Linked DNA regions of Cricetulus griseus. The protein of the gene in region 4 interacts with the protein of the main gene of each other region in a pairwise test. Links are inferred from orthologs where the notes say so. Each region holds a gene or a part of one and is shown on either strand. Other genes may lie near its edges. The genes, in order: Dtx3, Rnf144b, Rnf144a, Ube2l6, Arih2 and Rnf125.

Evidence for each region.
Region 1: the proteins of Ube2l6 (region 4) and Dtx3 interact in binary tests that used the Homo sapiens proteins (3 or more experiments, as listed by UniProt). The link is inferred for Cricetulus griseus from reciprocal best matches to the Homo sapiens genes UBE2L6 and DTX3.
Region 2: the proteins of Ube2l6 (region 4) and Rnf144b interact in binary tests that used the Homo sapiens proteins (3 or more experiments, as listed by UniProt). The link is inferred for Cricetulus griseus from reciprocal best matches to the Homo sapiens genes UBE2L6 and RNF144B.
Region 3: the proteins of Ube2l6 (region 4) and Rnf144a interact in a two-hybrid assay, tested with the Homo sapiens proteins (2 studies listed by BioGRID and IntAct). The link is inferred for Cricetulus griseus from reciprocal best matches to the Homo sapiens genes UBE2L6 and RNF144A.
Region 5: the proteins of Ube2l6 (region 4) and Arih2 interact in binary tests that used the Homo sapiens proteins (3 or more experiments, as listed by UniProt). The link is inferred for Cricetulus griseus from reciprocal best matches to the Homo sapiens genes UBE2L6 and ARIH2.
Region 6: the proteins of Ube2l6 (region 4) and Rnf125 interact in a two-hybrid assay, tested with the Homo sapiens proteins (3 studies listed by BioGRID and IntAct). The link is inferred for Cricetulus griseus from reciprocal best matches to the Homo sapiens genes UBE2L6 and RNF125.

The regions. Positions count from the first base shown.
Region 1 is NW_023276806.1:130,519,644-130,523,877, reverse strand, and holds the start of Dtx3 (probable E3 ubiquitin-protein ligase DTX3), read right to left. Parts: upstream 2,801-4,234; 5' UTR 2,701-2,800; exon of another isoform or gene 2,680-2,700; intron 2,575-2,679; 5' UTR 2,086-2,574; intron 825-2,085; 5' UTR 766-824; exon of another isoform or gene 704-765; intron 616-703; 5' UTR 547-615; coding exon 546-546; exon of another isoform or gene 536-545; coding exon of another isoform or gene 535-535; intron 195-534; coding exon 1-194. UniProt on the Homo sapiens protein: Regulator of Notch signaling, a signaling pathway involved in cell-cell communications that regulates a broad spectrum of cell-fate determinations.
Region 2 is NC_048596.1:266,980,782-266,983,245, forward strand, and holds the end of Rnf144b (E3 ubiquitin-protein ligase RNF144B), read left to right. Parts: intron 1-336; coding exon 337-426; intron 427-1,823; coding exon 1,824-1,964; downstream 1,965-2,464.
Region 3 is NC_048600.1:29,099,032-29,102,531, reverse strand, and holds part of Rnf144a (E3 ubiquitin-protein ligase RNF144A), read left to right. Parts: intron 1-3,396; coding exon 3,397-3,500. UniProt on the Homo sapiens protein: E3 ubiquitin-protein ligase which accepts ubiquitin from E2 ubiquitin-conjugating enzymes UBE2L3 and UBE2L6 in the form of a thioester and then directly transfers the ubiquitin to targeted substrates.
Region 4 is NC_048599.1:90,735,785-90,739,998, forward strand, and holds the start of Ube2l6 (ubiquitin/ISG15-conjugating enzyme E2 L6), read right to left. Parts: upstream 2,801-4,214; 5' UTR 2,716-2,800; coding exon 2,689-2,715; intron 1-2,688. UniProt on the Homo sapiens protein: Catalyzes the covalent attachment of ubiquitin or ISG15 to other proteins. Functions in the E6/E6-AP-induced ubiquitination of p53/TP53. Promotes ubiquitination and subsequent proteasomal degradation of FLT3.
Region 5 is NC_048597.1:216,779,009-216,781,640, forward strand, and holds the end of Arih2 (E3 ubiquitin-protein ligase ARIH2), read right to left. Parts: intron 1,329-2,632; coding exon of another isoform or gene 1,296-1,328; exon of another isoform or gene 1,274-1,295; coding exon 1,190-1,273; intron 977-1,189; coding exon 905-976; 3' UTR 501-904; downstream 1-500.
Region 6 is NC_048595.1:216,036,427-216,039,926, forward strand, and holds part of Rnf125 (E3 ubiquitin-protein ligase RNF125), read right to left. Parts: intron 3,152-3,500; coding exon 3,061-3,151; intron 1,373-3,060; coding exon 1,265-1,372; intron 1-1,264. UniProt on the Homo sapiens protein: E3 ubiquitin-protein ligase that mediates ubiquitination and subsequent proteasomal degradation of target proteins, such as RIGI, MAVS/IPS1, IFIH1/MDA5, JAK1 and p53/TP53.

The DNA.
Region 1 (4,234 bases), on a different chromosome or scaffold from region 4:
CTGTGGGGAGAGCTGGAGCACGTAGATGTCAGAAGTCTCCCCATCTATGAGGATGGACACTCGGTGCTCCTCCCGAAGCCGGGCCAGCCGGGCTGGGGTCTCCTTGCTCAGGAAGTCCCACACAGGCTTGGAGACAGTCACTTTGTTCTTGCAGGTGCCTCCACAGGCTGCCATTCTGGACAGGACGAACGACACTGCCCCCAGGGTGAAAGGGACTCAGCGTGGGGAGTGTCCCCATTTGACACATATAAGTGCTTCCTACTCCAGGTTCCCTCCAAACCTCACATCACCTCCTGTGTTCCTCAAAGCCAACCCCCAATACCTCCTGCAAACTGTTTTTCTATCACCCCTTCTCTCCCATAGTCCCAGCACTTGCTGGGGAACAAGAGTTTCTATATTTTATCATTATCTAAACCAAGCACCAACCTTACTTGTTTCTTTCATTTCTCCCCTGACCACCAGCAACCTGCCCCTTCCCCTCATAGAAAAGAAAAATAGGCTTTTCAAATGAGAAGGGAGACTTCCCTCCCCTACTTTTTGCTCACTTTGATCCGGAAGAGCTTAGGATTGGCATGCAGGCTCACTCCTTTTCCCTGCTACTTGGAGACCGTTGGCCTAGTGGGATGAGAAAGAAAAGGAAGTAAGAATAGGTTCTCCAATCCCCACAGGCCCCAACTCAGTAGCCTTTGAAACAGACAGGAACCTGGAGTAGTGTCCTGGGCATGGGAAGAACATGAACTGAGCGTCCCCTGGGGGTGCAGGTACCTGAAAAGACCATGGGAGATGGTGCAAGTCTCTCTACTTCCACATTGAGCTGACCAGAGCTGGGGATGAAGAAGGTAGAGAGTTATGATAGCACTTCCTCAGTCAGCCCAGAAACAAAACACTTATATCGCCTCTCCTCCCCTGCAGAATTCCAGGCACAGCCTCTCAAATTGCTCAGGAACTTCACCAGACCAGCTCCCCACCACCACCAACCCCAGTGCAGAGGAAGAGAGATCCTAGGTTCAGACAAAGGCCCTGGGGATGAAGCCTGCACTTGCCATCTCCCTCAGATTGACTACACTGACAGAAATATTTCCTATGTTCCTCAACTCATTTCTTTACTCCACATTCTCAAATAAGTCAAGTCCCTGTTGTTGACGGGGGACCTTTCCCTGAGAGCGAAGTCTGTTAGGGATGCCAGCAAAGTGATAGCAGTCCCTGCAATAACAAAGTTCTCATTGTCACCTTTAAACCCATTGCCTGCAGAGCTGTTGTCAGCTCTTGGATCTGCATTTAGGAGGGGCAGGGCTCAAGCAGGAGCTCAGCTAGAGGGCCCCCACGTTTTCCCCCCTGAGTCCTGTCACATTCAGCTCCGGGGCTGTTCCCGGAGTGCGGCTCAATTAGGAAGAGGGGGCCATTAACAGTGACCTCAATTCCTTGACTCATCCAAAGAAGAAGCCGCTGTCCCTCAGTGCCTTCATCCTAGGGCCCTTAAGATGAAACTCTAGAGTCCCAGCCCACATGGCCCGTGCACCGTAGCATGCCCCCACCCCGGCACAGAGGACCCAGGATCTCGGTGTCCTAGCTCCAAGCCCTGCTGGCACAGCACAAGGAGGCGGGGCCACAGTTTAGTCTGGTCTAGCATTCCTCTGAGGCAAACCAGGCCGGACAGGAGCCCAGTGACTCCCTCCGGGCAGCGGCCCCAGGCAGGGACACCGAGAAAGGGCGAGGGTCCCCTGGGGGGTGTCCACCGAGGCACCCCCACCCTTCTCCTCCCCCAGACCTGGCCCCCAGATCCATCCAACCCGAAGCCAACTCCCGCATCCCTACTCGAGGAAGCCCCGGAGTCCCGCCGCTGGGTGAGGGCGTGTGTCCGCCCGACTGCGGCCCTCAGAACCCCCAAATGGAGGCCGAGGGCTGGAGGTGCCGGCAGGATGATGCTGGGCCCGGCCCCGATGGTGCCGGCTCGCAGCGCCGCCGGGAGAGCGAGCGCCGGAGGTCAAAGGCGGAGGAGGGGACGGAGGGGCTCGGGGGGCTCGCGAGGGTGCCGATCGGGCCTGGGGGGCACGCGGTGGGTGTGGGGGCGCCGGGCTCACCTACCTCTCGTCAGCGCCGCCATTGCCGGTCACATGACTGAGGCTGTTGCTGGGATGACGGTCCGGGCCTTAGCAACAAGGGGCGGGGGAAGACCCCGGGAAGGTGGCAGGGGAAGCCGGGGCGCCGATGAAGAGGAAGGAGGGAGGACAGCACCCCTCTCCCCTGGGCGGGTGATGATCACCGTTTCCCTTGGTCCCCTCCTCCTGCTACCCGGGAGCCCCTGCCTCTCTGCCCCAAAACAAAAATGGAGGCGCAGATCCAGGCTTTGGAGGGAGGGGTGGCGTCATGTAACCGAGGGTAGGAGGTGAAATCCCTTAGAAACGCCGCTCTTTTGGCTTCCCTCCTCCCGGAGGAGCCCTCTCCCCTTCTTCTTCCCCAGCCAGCTGCGTGGCACCTTTGGGAGCCGGTAGTGGATGGGTGCGTGAGCAGTGCGGTGGGTGTATGGATTTGGAGGGGAAGGCAGTCTTTTTTTAAAATCTTAGGCTGTAAGAGCTTTAAAAGAAAAAAAAAATGTTGTATGGGAAGAGTTCTGGAAAAAAAAAAAAAGGAAAACACTGGTACTACACAATAAACCCTGTGACTAAACTACTTCCATCCCCTCCCTCCTGCTAGTGTTACCTCCGGTGACCCCCCACAGCCTGTTGCCAGATGGGGACGGGTGACTAGCTTTCCACAAACAGGGACACAGGTTGGTGCAGAATGCGAAGTGAACAGAAAAAAAAAAAAAAAAAAAAAGGCTTGGGGTGGTGTTGCTGTCAAGTACGTGGCTCAAAAGAGTTAAAAATTCCCAAAGAAAAAAAAGCTCTGCCCTGCTTCTCACCAGAACAGTCTCCGCCTCCTGCAACTCTCTTCCCCGAGGCCACATCAAGCCAGGTTTTTCCACCAGCCAAGACCTCAGCCAAGACCTCCTGAGTCTCCCAGAGCAGCCACAACCGCGTCATCCATCCCTTCCCATCCCCTCCCCCACGAACCGGAGGACTGGTCACTCCTTCGCTTTCCCAGGACCTTGTTGTACTCCTCCTGCCCTCTAAGTAGATAGCTTTCCCAGGAAGCCTGGGTGAACAGAGAATTCCTCCCCAAATAGCTGTTAGGCTGAGAGGCCCACTCAAGTTAGGAGATGTAGCCAGAGCACTGGGGAAAGAGGGGCAGCACCATCCTACCCTTCCCTGGCCACCATCACTGCTGAATTCCCACAAAGTTGAGGAATGTTTTCCACTCCCATGACCCCACCCCACAACTATAAGTCCACAGCCATCTTGGAAACTTCCCACATATTCAGGAGCCCAACAACACCTTGAAGACCAATATTCTTCATTTGGTCTCTGCATCCTGTAAACACAGGGATCCCTCAACATTTTCAGAGGGAAAAAAGTTTCTGTGAATGATTTGGACCGAATAATTTATTTTATTGTGATATTGGGAGTAAATACAGGTAAATAGAGATTTTTATTAATAAAAAATGATGGAAAACAGAAGCAATAAATGAAGATGACCGTTCTGCCCATAATACACAACCTCTTGGTTGGAGAATCCAGTTCTAAGGAACTGCTGCTGGTGCCATGGGGCTTTATTGCATCAACAGGGAAAAGGGTGACTATGGGATGGATGGAAGAGGCCCAGCAGGCAGGCCCCTCCCACCCCAGCTGGGCCTGCCTTTTGCTGCTTCCTTTGGTGTAAAGGTGAGAAGGGGGCTTCTCCCTGAGGACCTCATAGCTTTGTGCCCTTACTGCCCACCCCCCACTCCCAGGGTGTGGAGGTCTAAAGGGGAACAGAACAGCAACAATGCCCGTCTTGGTTCCAAAGGCTCTGGGCAGAGACAAGACTGTCTATCTCATGGCAGAATCTTGTTTTCCCAGATAGTCTCACGTATCCTTGGCTGGCCTCAAACTCGCTATGGAACTGAGGGTGACCTTGAATACCTGATGCCCCTTGCCTTCTTTTCCCAAGTGCTGAGATTATAGGTGTGCACCACCACATCTGGTTTGCATGGTGCTGAGATGGAACCCAGAGCTTTGTACACGCTAGGCAAGCACTCTATCCACTGAGTTATCTCCAATGCTCAAACCCATACCTTCTTTGAGTTTTCCTGAGACCATGTCTTACTCTGTAGCCCAGGCTGTTCAAGCTGGCCTTGAACTCTCACTGACTCTGC
Region 2 (2,464 bases), on a different chromosome or scaffold from region 4:
GCTTCCCTTCCCCATTAGCTGTCAGTTGGTGGCATTTCTCACGTCAGGCATGCTCCTGGCTTATGGTTCTCATGTTCCGTGCAAACCTCTGCTAGAGCTCACTGTCAGTTACCTGTCGGAGATGGTTGATCGGGTCATTCGGTTTTCTGTTGCCTCAGCCAATAGTTTGTTACGATTTGTCTCCTGGGTGATTTACAGAGCTGCAAGCCAAGCTGAAGAGGACGGGTTGGGATTCCTAGAAGAAGTCATTCATATCGTTAGGTGACCTGTGCACCTAATATCCACCTCTCGACTCCACTTTGTGCACTTACTGAAACTCCTCTCTTTGTGTTTCAGAATGACATATTCCTCAGGCATTATGACAAAGGGCCATGCAGGAATAAGCTGGGCCACTCGAGAGCATCGGTAATGTGGAACCGAACACAGGTACCCTCCCTCCTCCATGAGATGCATTGGACTTAGGTAGCTTCCTTGCTTTCCCATGCCCTCTTGGGAGGTTCTGGTACAAGGAGAGAGAGAACAATGGGGCAGCCCCCTGAAGTTAATTCAAGAGCACAATTGCTGAGGGACAGAGGCACCAGAGAACTGAGCACTACAGTGAGCAGCCAAGTGAATACCCATGTTCTTTGCTCTTGCAAAACATGGGAGGAGTTTCCTCCAAGCAGTTAGAGCACACCAGCCATCAAAGGAGAGTTCCCCAATACGATGGGCTCCTGCCGGGCCTCGGATCCCTCTGTACATGTCATTGTGTGTTTATGTGGCAGGTTCAAAGGGAGTTGTGGTTTGTTTTTTAATAGTGTTTTGTATTTATCAAAGGCTATGCTCCCTTTGAGGAAACCAATGCTCATATCCTAACAAACATTATTAATGTCCCTGTGAGACTGTTAGAGAAGCCCTGATAGAGAACGAGCCAACACCCACAGTTCAGGGTTTGGAGTTAACCGTTAAGCTTGAGTCAGCCTTTTGTTTGTTCCCTTGATTTAGTCCTTTGTGGCTTTGTAATTTGTGTCCAGTTTAGAACATTGCTAAATGTGCCTGAGACAGCATCCTAGTCATTCATCTAACAGACTATTTATTATAGACCGGGTGACTGGAACAACAAAGATGGCTTCTTTCTAGTTGTGGATGCTGCAAGTCTGAACTTCGGGTATCAATGTGGACGGGTTCTGCTGAGGGTCCTTATGTTAGACACTTGTCTCAGGACTTAAAGGAGCAAGAGTTCAATTTGGCTCATGGTTTGAGGACATATGGTCCATCATGGTGGGGAAGACATGGCAGAGTTCACGCCAGTGGAACTTGAGGCTGGGCCTCCTTATGTCTTAGCAGAGCAGGAATCAGTGAAAGGGGAATACGAGCATCCATCAGGCTTTCTTCTTTTTTATTTTTGTTATTCAATCCAATGCCCAGCCCATGGGATGGCATCACACATTTTCCCTTCTCAGTTAATCCTGATTAAATGTGCCCACAGACACATTCAGGGGTGTGTTTCTTAGATGATTCTAGATCTAGATATGTTGGCAATGAGGCGTGACACTCATGGCACTCCTCCTGTTCATAGATGATAGTTTTATTGCTGTGTTCTCCCACGGCAGAAAGCTGAGAGTGGAGGAGAACTCTTGAGCTCCCTGGTACCACCAAGGCTCCAGAGTCTCAGCTAGGGCTCCCCTCTCCAAGTGCCATCACACTGAGCATGAAGGTTTCAACATGGGGATTTGGAAGGGGGAGACACACACATTCACACCATAAAGGCCATTACACTTGGAAGCATGTACACATCCACGATGATGTAACTTCTGAAACAGGATTTTCTCTTCAATTTATAGGTGGTAGGGATCCTTGTGGGATTAGGCATTATTGCCTTGGTGACTTCACCCCTGCTACTCCTGGCCTCTCCATGTATAATCTGCTGTGTCTGCAAGTCCTGTCGAGGCAAGAAGAAAAAGCATGATCCATCCACAACTTAGTTACCTACACAGACATCTGGGTTATATGAGACAGCGCAGCGATAAAGCCCCACTTAGCAACCTTGCCTCCTTCTCCTTGCCAAACTTTGGAAGTGCCTCTGTGTCCAGACCCTGAACTTGCCTGACAGCATTCGGTGTTGGAAAAGGCCAAGTCCCGGGTGCCAGTGTTCCTGCGTGTCGAGATGCAACAGTCCAGACTGTGTCTGTGGAGCAGGCTGGGAGCTTCGCCCTTGCCTGGGAAACTCTTAACGCATCACCATCTTGCCATCCAAAGGATCCCACCAGGCTGCTCATCTTCCGTCCAAACCTAAGGAGCCTGGATGAATATTCAGTGTAATAATGGCATTGCTGTGCTTGGTGGCATTGCAAACTGAGCAAAAGTCTGTGTTGATTCCACTGCCACGAGTCACATGGCAGAAGCCAAGAGTCAGAGGGGAAGGATAAGACTAGCATAGTAAGAAGTTCTATGAGCAATAGAGCTGGCTGCTTATCTCAGGAGT
Region 3 (3,500 bases), on a different chromosome or scaffold from region 4:
CAATTCTTTCGAAGAGTTGGAAGCCACAGTGGAAAGTGTAGTGACTAGAACATTCTGTAGCTGCACTGATGCTCTCCATGCCTGTTTTCCACAGTCGACGCTTCTTTTTTGAAGTTCCTTTGTCCCCAGACTCAACCTTCCATCTCCCAAGCCTTTGGTGATACCAGGTGACACTATACTCTGCTGTCTTGGTTTGTTTTCTGTGATAAGCACCATGACCAGAAGAGGAAGGGATTTGTTTCGTCTTGCAGGTTACGCTCCATCTTTGAGGAAGCTCTGATAGGGCAAGAACTTGAAGCAGACACTTTGGAGGAAGGCTGCTTATGGGCTTGCTCCCTGGATCTAGCTACCTTTCTCACACAGCTCAGGCTCACCTGTTTAGGGAGGGCAATACCCACAGTAGGCTAGGCCTTCCTACATCACTTGGCAATCAAGACCGTACCTCATAGACATGGCCACTGGGCAATCCGATTGAAGCAATTTTCCAGTTGAAGTTGGCTCTTCCCAAGTGATTCTAGGTTTGTGTTAGGTTGACAGTAGAAAATATGGCATGCTTCTGTGTTGATTCAGATGTCGGGTTAGTAGGTGTAGTCTTTGTTCTGTGAGCAGTTTTTGATGTAACAGAGATGCTTCAAAAATGATTGCTTATGCTATAACAGTCGTGTGTGTGTGTGTGTGTGTGTGTGTGTGTGGTATGTGGTGTGTATGTATGTGTGTGGTTATGTTTGTATATGGTATGTGGTTTGTGTGTATGTGTTTTGGTTTTCTTTAGTGTTTAACTCTCTGGTTCAGAATATATAAAATATATAATATCATATTATATATATTAATATATAATATATAATATAATATATAATAACAGGAAGTCACTGCATAGCCAGGGTGACATTGAACTCATTATTTTATTGCCTCATCCACCAAAGTACAGGAATTACAGGCCTGAGTCATCAGACCCAACTTAATGAGTTAATTGAGGAAGAAAAAGAATGGGAAATAAGACAAAAAACAAACAAACAACAAAAACAAACAAACAACAACAACAAAAAAGAGTCAGCCTTTGAGTTCAGCACTTTTACTCTGGGACTTAGTACTTCTGTTCGTAGAAAGTGGCCTTGGGTTGTGTTTAACTCCCCGGGGCCTCACTTTCCCTGTGGTGAATGGGAGTGATAACACCTCCCACAGTTTTGGATTTAGGACTCCTTATTGGGCTAACAGAGACAAAGTGACTAACAACAGTCTGGTATTTGGAAGGCATTTGATTAAAGAAAGATGATAGATATATCAGAAAGTGCGTCAGTTCCTGTCTGCGGGATGTTTATTTATTGTAACAGAAGTTTCTCTGGTTGTCTAATTTGTGTGTATTCGAGAACTCATTTTAAGACATCTTTTTGCCATTAGATTGGGAGACAAGGCTTGTGAGTCATGACCCACTTTACATCTGGAAGAGGGCCGTGGCTGGTTTTGATGGATGCAGGAGCAGACACTCTGTAGTAAACAAATCAATATTCCCACTACACAAGCACAGTGTGTGCTGCTCCGAGATGCAATTCACTGGTCTGCTGAGCTTGCTCTTGGGGTTGCAGTCACCCAGTGTGACTCACTGCTTATGGTCACAAGCAAGCCTTTGAACAGTGTGGTTATGAGAAGCTCTGAGGGCATACATTTCACACCTGGTTTAATTGTTCTTTATCCCATTGAGGGAGAATGAGGCTGGGTCATTATATTGGTCTCTGGCCAGAGCTGTCCAAGTTTTCTGAGTTCGGTTGTTTGGTTTAAGACATTCCAGGACCCTAAAGAGACTAAATTAGACAGATTTAATTATAGACAGTAAAGCAATGATCTCGTTGCTAAGGATTTGGGCTTTTTTATGCCTGTGACTGTAAAAGGCAAATCACATAGGCGGACAAATGAGACAACAGCCCCTGCTTATTTAGCTGCTATACCAAGATTTGTGCCAGGTGTTGAGATATTCTTTATTTCTGTCAAGAAAGCCTAGTAACTCAGGCATTCGGATTTTATCATCTAGAGAGCTAGGAGCCAAATGCATCAAGGATGTGTCCCCATGGCCTTGGTAGAGAATACAAGATTGCCTGAGTCTGTCTGACTCAATAGACTGCAGGGTCATGCTCCCTTTTCACATTGCCACCATGGACAGGGCATAGAATAGACCTTCACCACCAAGTCAAGAGTCAGCAGGTCAGCAATGCTGTCTAGGTTCCGGGTGGGGTGGCACTGTAGCCCTGGCAGGACTTGGTGATATTCCTATCTTTTCCTGATTACCTGCCCTCTCTTGTTTTGGGAAGGCCTCCATGGATGGCAGTGAGTTTGCTTCTGATAACTCCACCATCCTGTTCCTCAAACAGAACTCCAAAGCGTCTCTCATGTAGGTGGGCCATATTCTGAGCCAGAGTCCTCATCAGAGCCATGGCAGATGCCTCAAGCTAAAGGCTTCTGTTTATAGCCGTGGTTGCCAACCTTCCTAATGCTTTAATATAGTTCCTCATGTTGTTGTGATCCCAACCATAAAATTCTTTTCATTGCTACTTCATAACTTCTACTATTATGAATCATCATGTAAATATCTGATATGGAGAATATCTGATTTGTGGCCCCTGTAAAAGGGTTGTTTGAGCCCCAAGGGGGTCATGATCCTCAGGTTGATAAACACTGGCTTAGAGCCCAGGGCAATACTTTGCACATGATGTCAAGTCTCAGGAAAGTAGCTTTGGGAAGTTGGCCTTGGCCTCCCTCTCTGCTCCTTCCCTCCCTTTATCTTACCATTTTCCCTTCTTCCTTCCCTTGCCTTCCCCTCCCTTGCCCTGTCTTATCTTGCAAAGGCTGTTTTTCTCCCTCTGACCCTTACAGTCTTTCTGCCTCTTCTTCTCCAATGGTCCCCGAGCCTTGTGAGTAGGGATATGATATTGCTGTCCCATTTAGAGCTGAACATTTTAAAAGTCTCTTCCTCTGTGCACATTGGCTAGTTGTGGGACTTGTATTAATTACTCTACTGAAGAAACCTTTCTGATGAAGATGGAAAGATGCACTCCTCTTAGGGTATGATAATAAGAACCTAGGGAGAAGTTTAATATGATTTCTATTCAACAGAAGAGTAGTCATGGATTCATCCTTAGGACCCATGACCTAGACAACCATGTGCCATATGCAGTTGACAGTACCAAGTATGAGTTCCATCTTAATGACCATGCTGTAAATCCAACCAGGAACTAGTTGGTTATTCCTATAACATCCATACCACTATTGCCCCAATAGGCATATCTCGCCAGGCCAGTAGTTAAGGTAAGCTCTCAGGGTTAATGGCTATCTGTTTGCTTAACACATCACTTGGTCTTTGGTATTTTGGATGTGCACGTGTTTATACACTTTTCTTTCTTCCAGTGCCTGAAACAGTATGTTGAACTCTTAATCAAAGAAGGCCTAGAAACTGCGATTAGCTGCCCGGATGCTGCATGCCCCAAAAAGGGCCACCTTCAGGAGAATGA
Region 4 (4,214 bases):
GTGGGGGGGAAGAGACGTTGAAAAGCATTCACACATTCAAGGCAGTGCAGTCCTCTGGGAGAATGAACAGATACAAACTAGTGGTTCTTGAGAATCCAGGGATACCTTTACCCACTAGAGCACATTTGCCAATATCTAGAAATATTTTCCATTGTCATAAATGGGGTGGGTACTACGACAGTTCAGCAGGTAAGGTTCACAGATGCTGATGAAACATCCTACAAAGAATTATCTGGTCTCAAGGGTCAACAGAGACAAAAGTTGAGAAATGCTTGTGTAAACACAGGGCCCTTCCCTGCTGTAAACTTTCGGTACTCCCTCTCCCAAATTCATAAACTTCCCACACTTCCTTCTATCTCTCAGCTTCTCTTCCACATCTAGTCACACCAGCAGATTGCTTCCTGTGCCCTCTACTTAGAGCCATGACCATTCATTTGCCTATTCTACCTAGCAACAAGGTAGAATTGCTTGGACAAGAATAAAGGCTTAGGTAGAACACAGATCTTGAGCGGACATGTTCTGGGCTGGAGATGCAGCTCAATTGGTAGTGTTTGCTTGGCATTCATGGAGCCCTGGGTTCAAGTCCCAGCACTGCATAAAACTTGATAAAGTGGTGCTCATCTCCGATCCCAGGACTTAAGAGATGGAGGCAGAAGAATCAAGAAACCAGAGGTTGGTCTGGTGAGATAGCTCAGCAGTTAGGTGCACTTGTTTTCCTAACTCTGGATTCAATTCCTAGCACCCACATAGTGGCTAACAACTATCTCTGAAACAATCAGTTACAAGGGATCTTGCCTCTGGTAGCACCAGGCATGCAGATGGTTCACAGATAATACATGCAGGCAGAATACCCACATACATAAAATAAAAATAATAATTAAAAAAATTAAAGGTCATTGTCAGCTACATATCAAGTTTGAGGCCAACCCGGACATAAAACCCTATCTCAAAAACAAAAACAAACAAAAAATCGAAGGGGAATTTTCTCTTTTACCACTGGGAATACTCGGATTTTTTGTGCTTTGGTGAATTCTGTCATGACTTTCCCATAATTGCTGAAATCCAAGCTAGGACACACAGCTCCTCCCAAAGTCTGCTAGTAAGTCACCTGATTTAGAGGAAATGAAAGTGAAGACACAAAGGCGGTTAAAAGCCCTGTGAGTTAGAGCCTCGTCAGTCTAGGCTCCAATTCCAGACCCATCACTCCTGCTGAATATCTGAATAGCACTGGTCACTCATGCTACTCTCTCTGATATCTCGGTGTCCTCCTCTGTAAAATGGGAAGTCATAATTATCTCACAGAGTTGCTATAAAATTAGATTTAAAAAATGGCCTGGCACTCAGGATTCTGGAGCAATACAAGCAAGTTCATCTCTTAGTGTTGAGGTAGCAAGGACCCTCTGCCCCATTGTGCTCCAGCCTCCAAATTTTAGTTCTGGGATGGGCCTGCTCTGGCCTTCTCCACCTTAAAGAATTTTCCTTTATGGAGCTGAGGACAGCAAACATCCCTTCTCACCGCAAGAAACAGTTTTTCCCTAAATTCTGCAGACTAGAGGGGACCTTTGGGGAGATCCAAAGCTTGGGGGTGCCAGCTCCCGCTCACCGGCGTTTCTCCTCTACGGTCTCCAATCGTGGCTCCAGCCCTCTAGACATTCCTAAGGAAACTGCCACCTTTCCATTTTTCCAGGTAGTATTCAAACAGTGAGTGTCCCAGATAGAAATGAACACTCAAAGGTGATAAGATTTTTGTTCCTAGCCGGGTGATGATGGCACACACCTTTAATCCCAGCACTCGAGAGGCAGAGGCAGGCGGATCTCTGAGAGTTCGAGACCAGCCTGGTCTACAGGAGCTAGTTCCAGGACAACCTCCAAACCACAGAGAAACCCTGTGTCGACAAACAAACAAAAGCAAACAAACAAAAAAGATTTTTGTTCCTTTTCTTCTCCCTGCCACCTGGCACTGGACTAGTAGAAAACAGGCATTTAGCATCTGTAGCGGACTGCATAAAAACCTACTCAGGGCATATTGATATTTTTTATTCAGGAACTATTCTGTATACTTTCATTCCAGGGACCGCCCATCCCCACCCCACTGCCCATCCACATCTCTAGCTTCTGAAAGTATCAAATTATGGGTCCACCCAGTAGGTGGCGCAACAGAACTCTGCCGGTGCCTGAGATACGCCCCACTAATAAACTTTCAGCGGAATTGAAACTGAAACCAGTTTGGGGAAGCTAATTCATTCTCATACTCACCCCACATACACACCCCCTAATACAACTCGGAAAGCTGGTGACAACTCTGTCTTGTATGTCCCCCATCCTGGCCCACAAACTCCAGCCCTACACACACACACACACACACACACACTCTCATACACACACGGAGGGAGGTAGAGGCAGAGGGAGGGAGGGAGGGAGGGAGGGAGGGAGAGGGAGAGGGAGAGGGAGAGGGAGAGGGAGAGAGAGAGAGAGAGAGAGAGAGAGAGAGAGAGAGAGAGAGAGAGAGAGAGAGAGAGAGAGAGAGAGAGACTCCGCCCACTCCTTCAGTGGGAGAGTGGGAGAGGGTGAGGATGCCTGGGTTTCAGCCCACCCTAGTACCCCTGATAAACAAAAGCACTCAAAGGTCAGCCGGGGAAAACCGAGGGAGTAGAGCTTGGGGTCGGGGATCACTAGAAAGGCGCTTACCTTCGCCACCCGTTTGCTGGCTGTCATCTTGGGTGGGAGTGTGGGGCAGCAGCAGACTCCCTCAGGTCACCGCTCTCGGAACCACAGCTCCGGAGCCCCACCCACATCTGCTCCACCCACAGGGACTCTAAGACGTGCTCCCCATCCCAACGGTGGATACCTGAAGGGCGCGGTCAAGTGCCCAGATCGGTGGTCTTGAATCCCAGAAACTCAGCTCTTTGTAGATAGGAGACTAAGTCCGCGGAGCACACTGCTCCCCTTGAGGGACATCACGCAGGAGCCTTGATGGAGTACATCCCCAGCCTTCATTAGCTTCCTCCATGCGGAGAACACACTCGCCAGAGATACTACCTTTGCAAACTTAGTTCTACTGCAGGTCTCTCTGACCTCCGGCCTAAGCCTTACCTCCAGAAAGATTCTCAGAGCTCTGGGCCAGGTCACTTTGCCTTTGTGGGCCCAGTGCCTCATCCAAAAAACGAGTGGGGACAGTGTAAACTGTATGCCCCCCAAGTATCGCTCCCTTAGTTGAGTGGGATCCTAGGTGCAGTGCAGCAATTGGGCCGAGATGCTACGATAGATGCTTCTTTTAGGTTGCTTGGCGCTGAGCATCACATGTGGATGCTGTTGGACCCATTCTCTTTTAGTTTTGGATGCTCTGTCGACCTAGAACACCTAGAAAGTGCCTACTGTAAGGCGATTTGGGAAACCGATGGGTAGGAGAAGCCTTAAGATAGAGTTCAGGAGCCTATTGTATTTTACTGCCAGCCGATTACAAACTATGGACCTACGGAGTGTCCTTATGAACAGTCAAAAGAGTCTCCACCCCTCTATGCAGGGGCAGAGATGCCTTTCCCTAGCCCAAGTTGAGACCACCATGTAATTAATAGCAGCCGCCCCCGCCCCCAATATTGAACAGCATCTAGGAGAAATTCTGCTGCTGTGATGAAACTAGGGAGGAGTCCACCTTCCCCACCTAATCCCTTGCAGTCCAGAAATTAGTATATTTTGAACCCCAAGTTTTGACCCAGTATGCCGCATGATTTTTTTTTTCTCTGTCAGGGATCCATATGTCTGCTTTGCTTCGTTTGCCAATTCTGTTTATTCAACCCAATAACTTTAACCAGATACCCCCTAAGTGATGGCAATGAACAGTACACCATCAGCAATTCCCTAAATATAGGTAGGGGATGAGGGAGCAGGGCACTTGAACCCATTTCTAGTTAGTCTTAAACAAGCACTTAATACCGAGTGTCAAGCACCATTTTAGGGAACACACCAGGCTGAGAAAGTGTGGTGTCTGTCGTCAGAGAAACTCTCAGGAAATTGAAACACAGAGAATTCAGCCTCTGAATTTTTTGTATGTTTGTAGTTTTTTGAGATAGGATCTCACTGTGTAGTCCTGACTGGCCTGGAACTTGCTGTGGACCAGGCTGGCCTAAAACTCAAGAGATCTGCCCACCTCTGCCTCCTGAGTGCTGGGATTAAAAGCCTACACCACCATGCCTGGCTTAGTCTCTGAATTTTTA
Region 5 (2,632 bases), on a different chromosome or scaffold from region 4:
GGCCACATGTGACACTGGTCAGAGTACACCACTTAAATACCGGATCAAAAGAAACGACCAAAGAAAAGGAAACTTATTTGGGGGAACAATTCCTTTCAAATGTGGATCTCTCATCTTTACAGGACAAAAGGAAGCACCAGTCTCCCAGTCCGGAGGTTCGAATGCCAACCTCTGCACTGCCGTGGGTTCTGGATTGGTGGCCCAACTCACTAAGTCTCACATTCAATAAAAGCAAGCCCATAGTGAAACCCTGCTATGCTCCGTGCCCTTGCTGCTCAGCTACGGCAGAAGGTACTTGACTCTCTGTGCTCCATGCCTGTTATGCAGGCCAACTCAGTTCCTTACCATCTGCCACACATACTCTTCCCTTGGGACTCCAGGTAACGTCAAAGAGGATGCTGGAAAGCAGGGACCACCCCAGGAACCCCGGCAGCACAGACATTCTGAGGCTCGGTGGGTGGGCAGCATCAAGTTACATTCTAAGTAAAGTAGCTAGAGGGTAAACACTCCAATGCCAATTTATTTTCAAAAGGGCTCTGTGTTATCCTATGGTTTGCCTTTCTTTCAAATCGTACAACCTTTGAAAATTACATAAGTTGTAATGATCTAATACTATTAATAGCCATTCAGGAAAAAAAAAAGTTCCCTCCCTCCCAACAACCATCCAGGGAGAATTTAAAAGTCCTTACTAGAGGCCAGTTCAACATGGCCTCTACCCTGGTAGAAACAAAAAGCAAAAAGATAAGGAGAAAACAAATTGACTAAGAGGTGTGTTGCCAGTGTCTCTCAGGAGTGGGCCTGGCTGTTGCCTGGGGTCGTGAAAGGCAGAGCCTGCAGCATGCAGTGTGGTAGCCGGAAGGCCTCACAGCTACGTCTTCCTCACCCCGGCACATCCACAGCCTGCCTAGGTGTCGTGAAAGTCCTTCAGCAGGGTTCTTCTCCGCTGCTCGGCAATGTGCATTTGGTTTTCCAAGTCCTGTATAAGGGACACACAGCAGGTGTTTACAAGTCCCAATGCTAGGAGCAGAGAGTAACCAAAGCCACAGCCATCGTTATTAGGGGCTCCAAGTAGTCTAAAAAAAAATCAATCTTCCACCCTCGACTGCAGCAGCGTAAGTCCCATCCCCAGTACAACCCCCTAGTAGTATGAGTGCCTTTCCTTACCTGCAATAGGGCAAAAGGTACTTACCCCTCTATCATAGCTGTCTGCACGCTCAACTTTCCACGAAAGGTTTTCAATCTCAGCCTCCAGCTGAGCCTGCTGGTATTCAAACTGTATGGGCAGAGCAGGAGGGTCAAAAGGAGAGGGGGCTGTAGCCGGGCAGGGCCTGCAGATGGAGGGTACATGCAGCACCTCAGGCTCGAAATAGCAACTGACAAGCCTGTCACTGTCCTGAGAGTGCCTACTACTCGTTATGCCTGAGCTGGAAAACATCCAAAGAGGTCCAGAAGAGAGGGGCAAACAGCAAGAAAATATTTGTCTTCCACCACCAATGGAAGGTGAGAAACTTAAAGCCAAAGGAAAAGATATTCTCAAAATAATGGGACACAGATGCTGCAAAAGTGAAGTTAAAAGGGATATTCTCAAGACACGGTATTCATTCAACATTTTAACTTTCCCCCAGTCATCTAGCCTATCAAACCCTCAAAATCAGGGCTAGGGATGCATCTCAGTTGGTGAAATACCTACCAAAATGTACAAAGCCTTGGGTTCAGTTCCCAACATTGTAAATTGTGTATGGTGGTTCATCCCTGCAATCCTAATACTAAGGATAAAAGCTCTAGGTCCTCCTTGGTTACTTTGCAAGTTTGAGGCCAGCCTGAGCTATATGAAACCCTAACTCTATGCATAAAGACTTTTCTTGGTCTTATTTGTGACAGTGAAAATAGAAACAACTGTCATTTCAAATGATGATACAATAAGGCAATACAGATGGAACATTTACATAGCCATTAAAAAAAAAAATCAGCCTTTGGGGGTGCACACCTTTGATCCCAGCACTCTCGAGGCAGAGGCGGGCGAATCTCTGTGAGTTCGAGGTCAGCCTGATCTACTGAGAGAGTTCCAAGACAGGCTCCAAAACAATACACAGAAACCCTGTCTGGGGGGAGGGGGCGGGGGACAAAACAAAATTCAGCATAATTAGCGACAGCTATAACAATGATAAACTTGTAACAATAAGGCCGGGTGTGGGCGTTAATCCCAGCACTCGGGAGGCAGAGGTAGGTGGATCTCTGAGTTCGAGGCCATTCTGGTCTCCAGAGTGAGTGCCAGGACAGGCTCCAAAGCTACACAGAGAAACCCTGTCTTGAAAAACCAAAAAGTAACAATAAAATGTACACATGCATCTGAGATAAGAGTTTCTCTATATAATAGCCCTGGCTGTCCTCAACTTTTCTTTGTAGAGCAGGCTGGCCTTGAACTCAAGAGATTTGCCTGATTCCGCTTCCTGAGTGCAGAGATTAAAGTATTGAGTGCCACCACTGCACGAGGTCATATTTTTTAAAAAAGATTTATTTATTATGTATATAGTGTTCTGCCTCCATGCCAGAAGAGTTACATCAGATCATTATAGATGGTTGTGAGCTTCCATGTGGTTGCTGGGAATTGAACTCAGGACCTCTGGAAGAG
Region 6 (3,500 bases), on a different chromosome or scaffold from region 4:
ATTTTGTGCTAGGCATGTATGCACCTTGGTACCCAATAGCTGTTTGTCTCTGACTCAAGCTCCTGGAAGATGCATTCCCAGCATCTCTGACTCCTTAATGCACAACCATGACCATGCGCTTGTTATGCTATGACTAATTGCTGGTTTTGGCTTCTGTAATTTGCTTGTACAGACATTCAAGAACTATTTTGAGGTCACCTCGACCATCTAATCTTGGTACAGCAGAACATTTTTTGTGGATGTCACCTTTAAAAGCCCTTCCCTCAGCTGCATCTTCGAGGCACATCTCTGATTTGGATGAGAGATTGAGTCCCTTTAATAAATTTGTTTAATTATAATTGACTCTGGGGTCTTTTCCCAGTGGTCTCAAACTCTACAACACCACATTAGGTGGCTCACAACCGCTAGGGAATCTGATGTCCACTTCTAACCTTACTGGACAAACACCCCCCCACCCACAACATACACATAGACATAAGTAAAAAGTAAATTAAAACCTTAAGATTTATTTATAAAAGTAAAAGAAAGGAAGCCTTGTCAGATCAGGATGTTCTCTACATTTCACACATACCTGGAATAAAGTTTACACATCCCTGCTAGTTTTTTTTTTTGGGGGGGAGGGGGGTCACAGTTGAATGACAGTATTTTCCTAGAATGGACAAGACCCCAGGGTGAATCTCTAGTACTGGGGAAAAAGAAGGACATTCCTAGGATTCAGAATACTAACAGTTCTATTAATTACTGATTTACGGACAGAAAAATTTCAACAAAATCCTCTTCTTGCTTCTTTATGCATCAAAGTGAAATTTAAGCTTCATATCAGCACTTCTATAGGTAAAAACAAAATGTAGTAAGAACCCTATCCCTCTCCAGTTCCTCTCACTTCTAAAACAAAAGGTGAAATTGCTATTGGAAGTTCAGTCTATGGTTTTAGTTTGTTCATTGAGACAGAGTCTTACTGGGTGGCTCTGGCTGGCCTGGAACTTACTATGTAGCCCAGGATGTCCTTGAACTCACAGAGCTCTGCCTGCCTCTGTCTCCCCAGGGCTGGGATCAAAGGTGTGCACCACCACAGCTGTTGAAAGAAGACTACTTCAATATTAGTAGTGAATGCTACTCTACAGACATGACATTCTCCTTAATGCTAATGTTAATCTATACACTTTCCTACATGCTCAATTTTTTTATAATTTTATTCATGGGGAGTTTTAAAAGTAAGCTTAACAATACAAAAGCATAATGTAAAAGGTAGAAATATACTTACTAGGAAATCATCATAAAACAAAGTGTGGCTGACTTGCAAATGTCTAATTAAGCTGCCATTGAAGGTACTTGGGCTCTCATTAGGTAGTAAATGGCAAAGCGGGCAGAACTAGAAAAAAAGACCAATAAATAGTTTAAATAATTATTAATCCCAGAATTTTAAAAAAGAAGTCACTATTGAATGTGAATTTTAACTATGAATCCATTGGGCATACCTCAACATTGCATTTTGTTTGCTTAGTTTCTGTAGGAGTGATGTATACATGTGTTCTTGTGTTTGCATGTCATGTACAGGGTCATGTCTGTGCATGTTCATGTGAAGGTCAGAGGCCAGTGTCAGGTGTTTTCCTCAGTTCTCCACCTCATGATCTTAATTTATTTTCATTTTTTATTTCCACTGTATTTAAGGTGCCATACAGTTTTTAAGGATTTTTTTTAAAAAATGATTTATTGACTTTTATGTGTATGAGTGTTTGCCTGAATATAATATGTGTACCATATCCCTGCCTGGTGCCCATAGAACCCAGAAGAGAGCATTAGATATTCTGAAACTGAAGTTATAGATTGCTGAATGGTACCACATAGGTGCTGAGATCTGAACCTAGGTCCCCTGCAAGAGCAGCAAGTATTCTTAAACACCGAGTCATCTCAATGTTTCTCAATTGAGAAGACAGAGCTTCTCAATGAACCTGGAGCTAAGCAATTAAGCTAGGCTAGCTCTCAGTCCTGGGACTCCAGGTGGGTACCACACCATCACACTCAGATTTTAAGAGAGTGCAGAGAAACAGACTTGGTCTTCCTGTTTGTGTGAGGCACTTTACTGACTAAGCCATCTTCCTAGCACTGTTTTGTTTTGTTTCTCATAAAGTTCTCAGGCTAGCTTTGAATCTACTGTGGCCAAGTCTGACCTTAAACAACATTCTACTACTACACTTGGCTTCATATCTCAATATTAAAAAATTATATTTATAGTCAGGAAGATCTCTGTGAGTTGAAGGCCAGTCAGGTCCACAAAGAAAATTCCAGGCCAGCTAAGGCTGCATGGTGAGATTCTATGCATTTATTTTTCTCATCTGAATATTGTTTTCTTTTCTTTCTTTTTCTTTTTCTTTTTTTTGTTTTTGTTTTTTGTTTTTTGTTTTTCGAGACAGGGTTTCTCTGTGTAGCTTTGGAGCCTATCCTGGCACTCGCCCTAGAGACCAGGCTGGCCTGGAACTCACAGAGATCCACCTGCCTCGGCCTCCCAAGTGCTGGGATTAAAGGTGTGCACCACCAACGCCCGGCTGAATATTGTTCTCTTAAGAATTAAAAATAAATTACAGGGCTTCACTGTTGTAGACCTGCCTATCCTAGAACTCACTATGTAGACCAGGCTTGTCTTGAACTCACAAAGATCCACCTGCTCTGCCTTCCAAAGGTGTGTGCCATCATGCCCAGCAACACAACATTACATAGAGTTTCTTGGGGTTGGTGAAATGCTCTTGGGTAAAAGCACTTGACACCAGTTGTGCCAAAAGTACTCTCCCAAAAGACTCCCCAAAGTTCTCTCATCTCCACAGGAGAACTTGGTGTGAACACACAGATAAATAAATGTAGTAACTTTAAAAATTAGAAAATAAGTAAGTGCTAGCACAGAACTCACTGTGCAGCCCAGACTGGCCTCAAACCTGCAGCATCTGTTTTTCCTTACCTCCCAAGCACTGAGATTACAAGCACGACCCAAGATGCCCAGATTCTAATATATCTTAAATTCAGACACTATATTCAGACAGACAGGTAATAGGTAGGAATCATTACCACAGGCCTCCTCTCTGATCTATGGTGGGTAATGCAATGATCCAGCAAAGAGTCTTCATCCAGTTCCCTCTGACAGAATGGACATACACACCTGGAGAGAGCAGAGAATGAATTACAACCACTAAAACAGTGGTCAAAATAGAATAGCCACCTAATTAGAAATTTAAAAAACCAACAGACTGTACAGACTATAGCTAGGTTAGTATCTTTTCTGTGAGGGGGCCGGGGTGTCTCTATGCAGCCCAGGCTTACCCTGGTCCTCCTGCTTCTAGCCCCTAAGTGCTGGGATTATGAGTATGTGCCACCACATGGCTTGCTTTTCTGGTTTGTTAGTTTTGAGACAAGAGACTTGCTATGTAGTTCAGGCTTTCCTGAACCTCTCAGCAATCAATCTGCCTCAGCTTCCTTGAATGCTGTAGTTATAGGCATTTGTCACCATA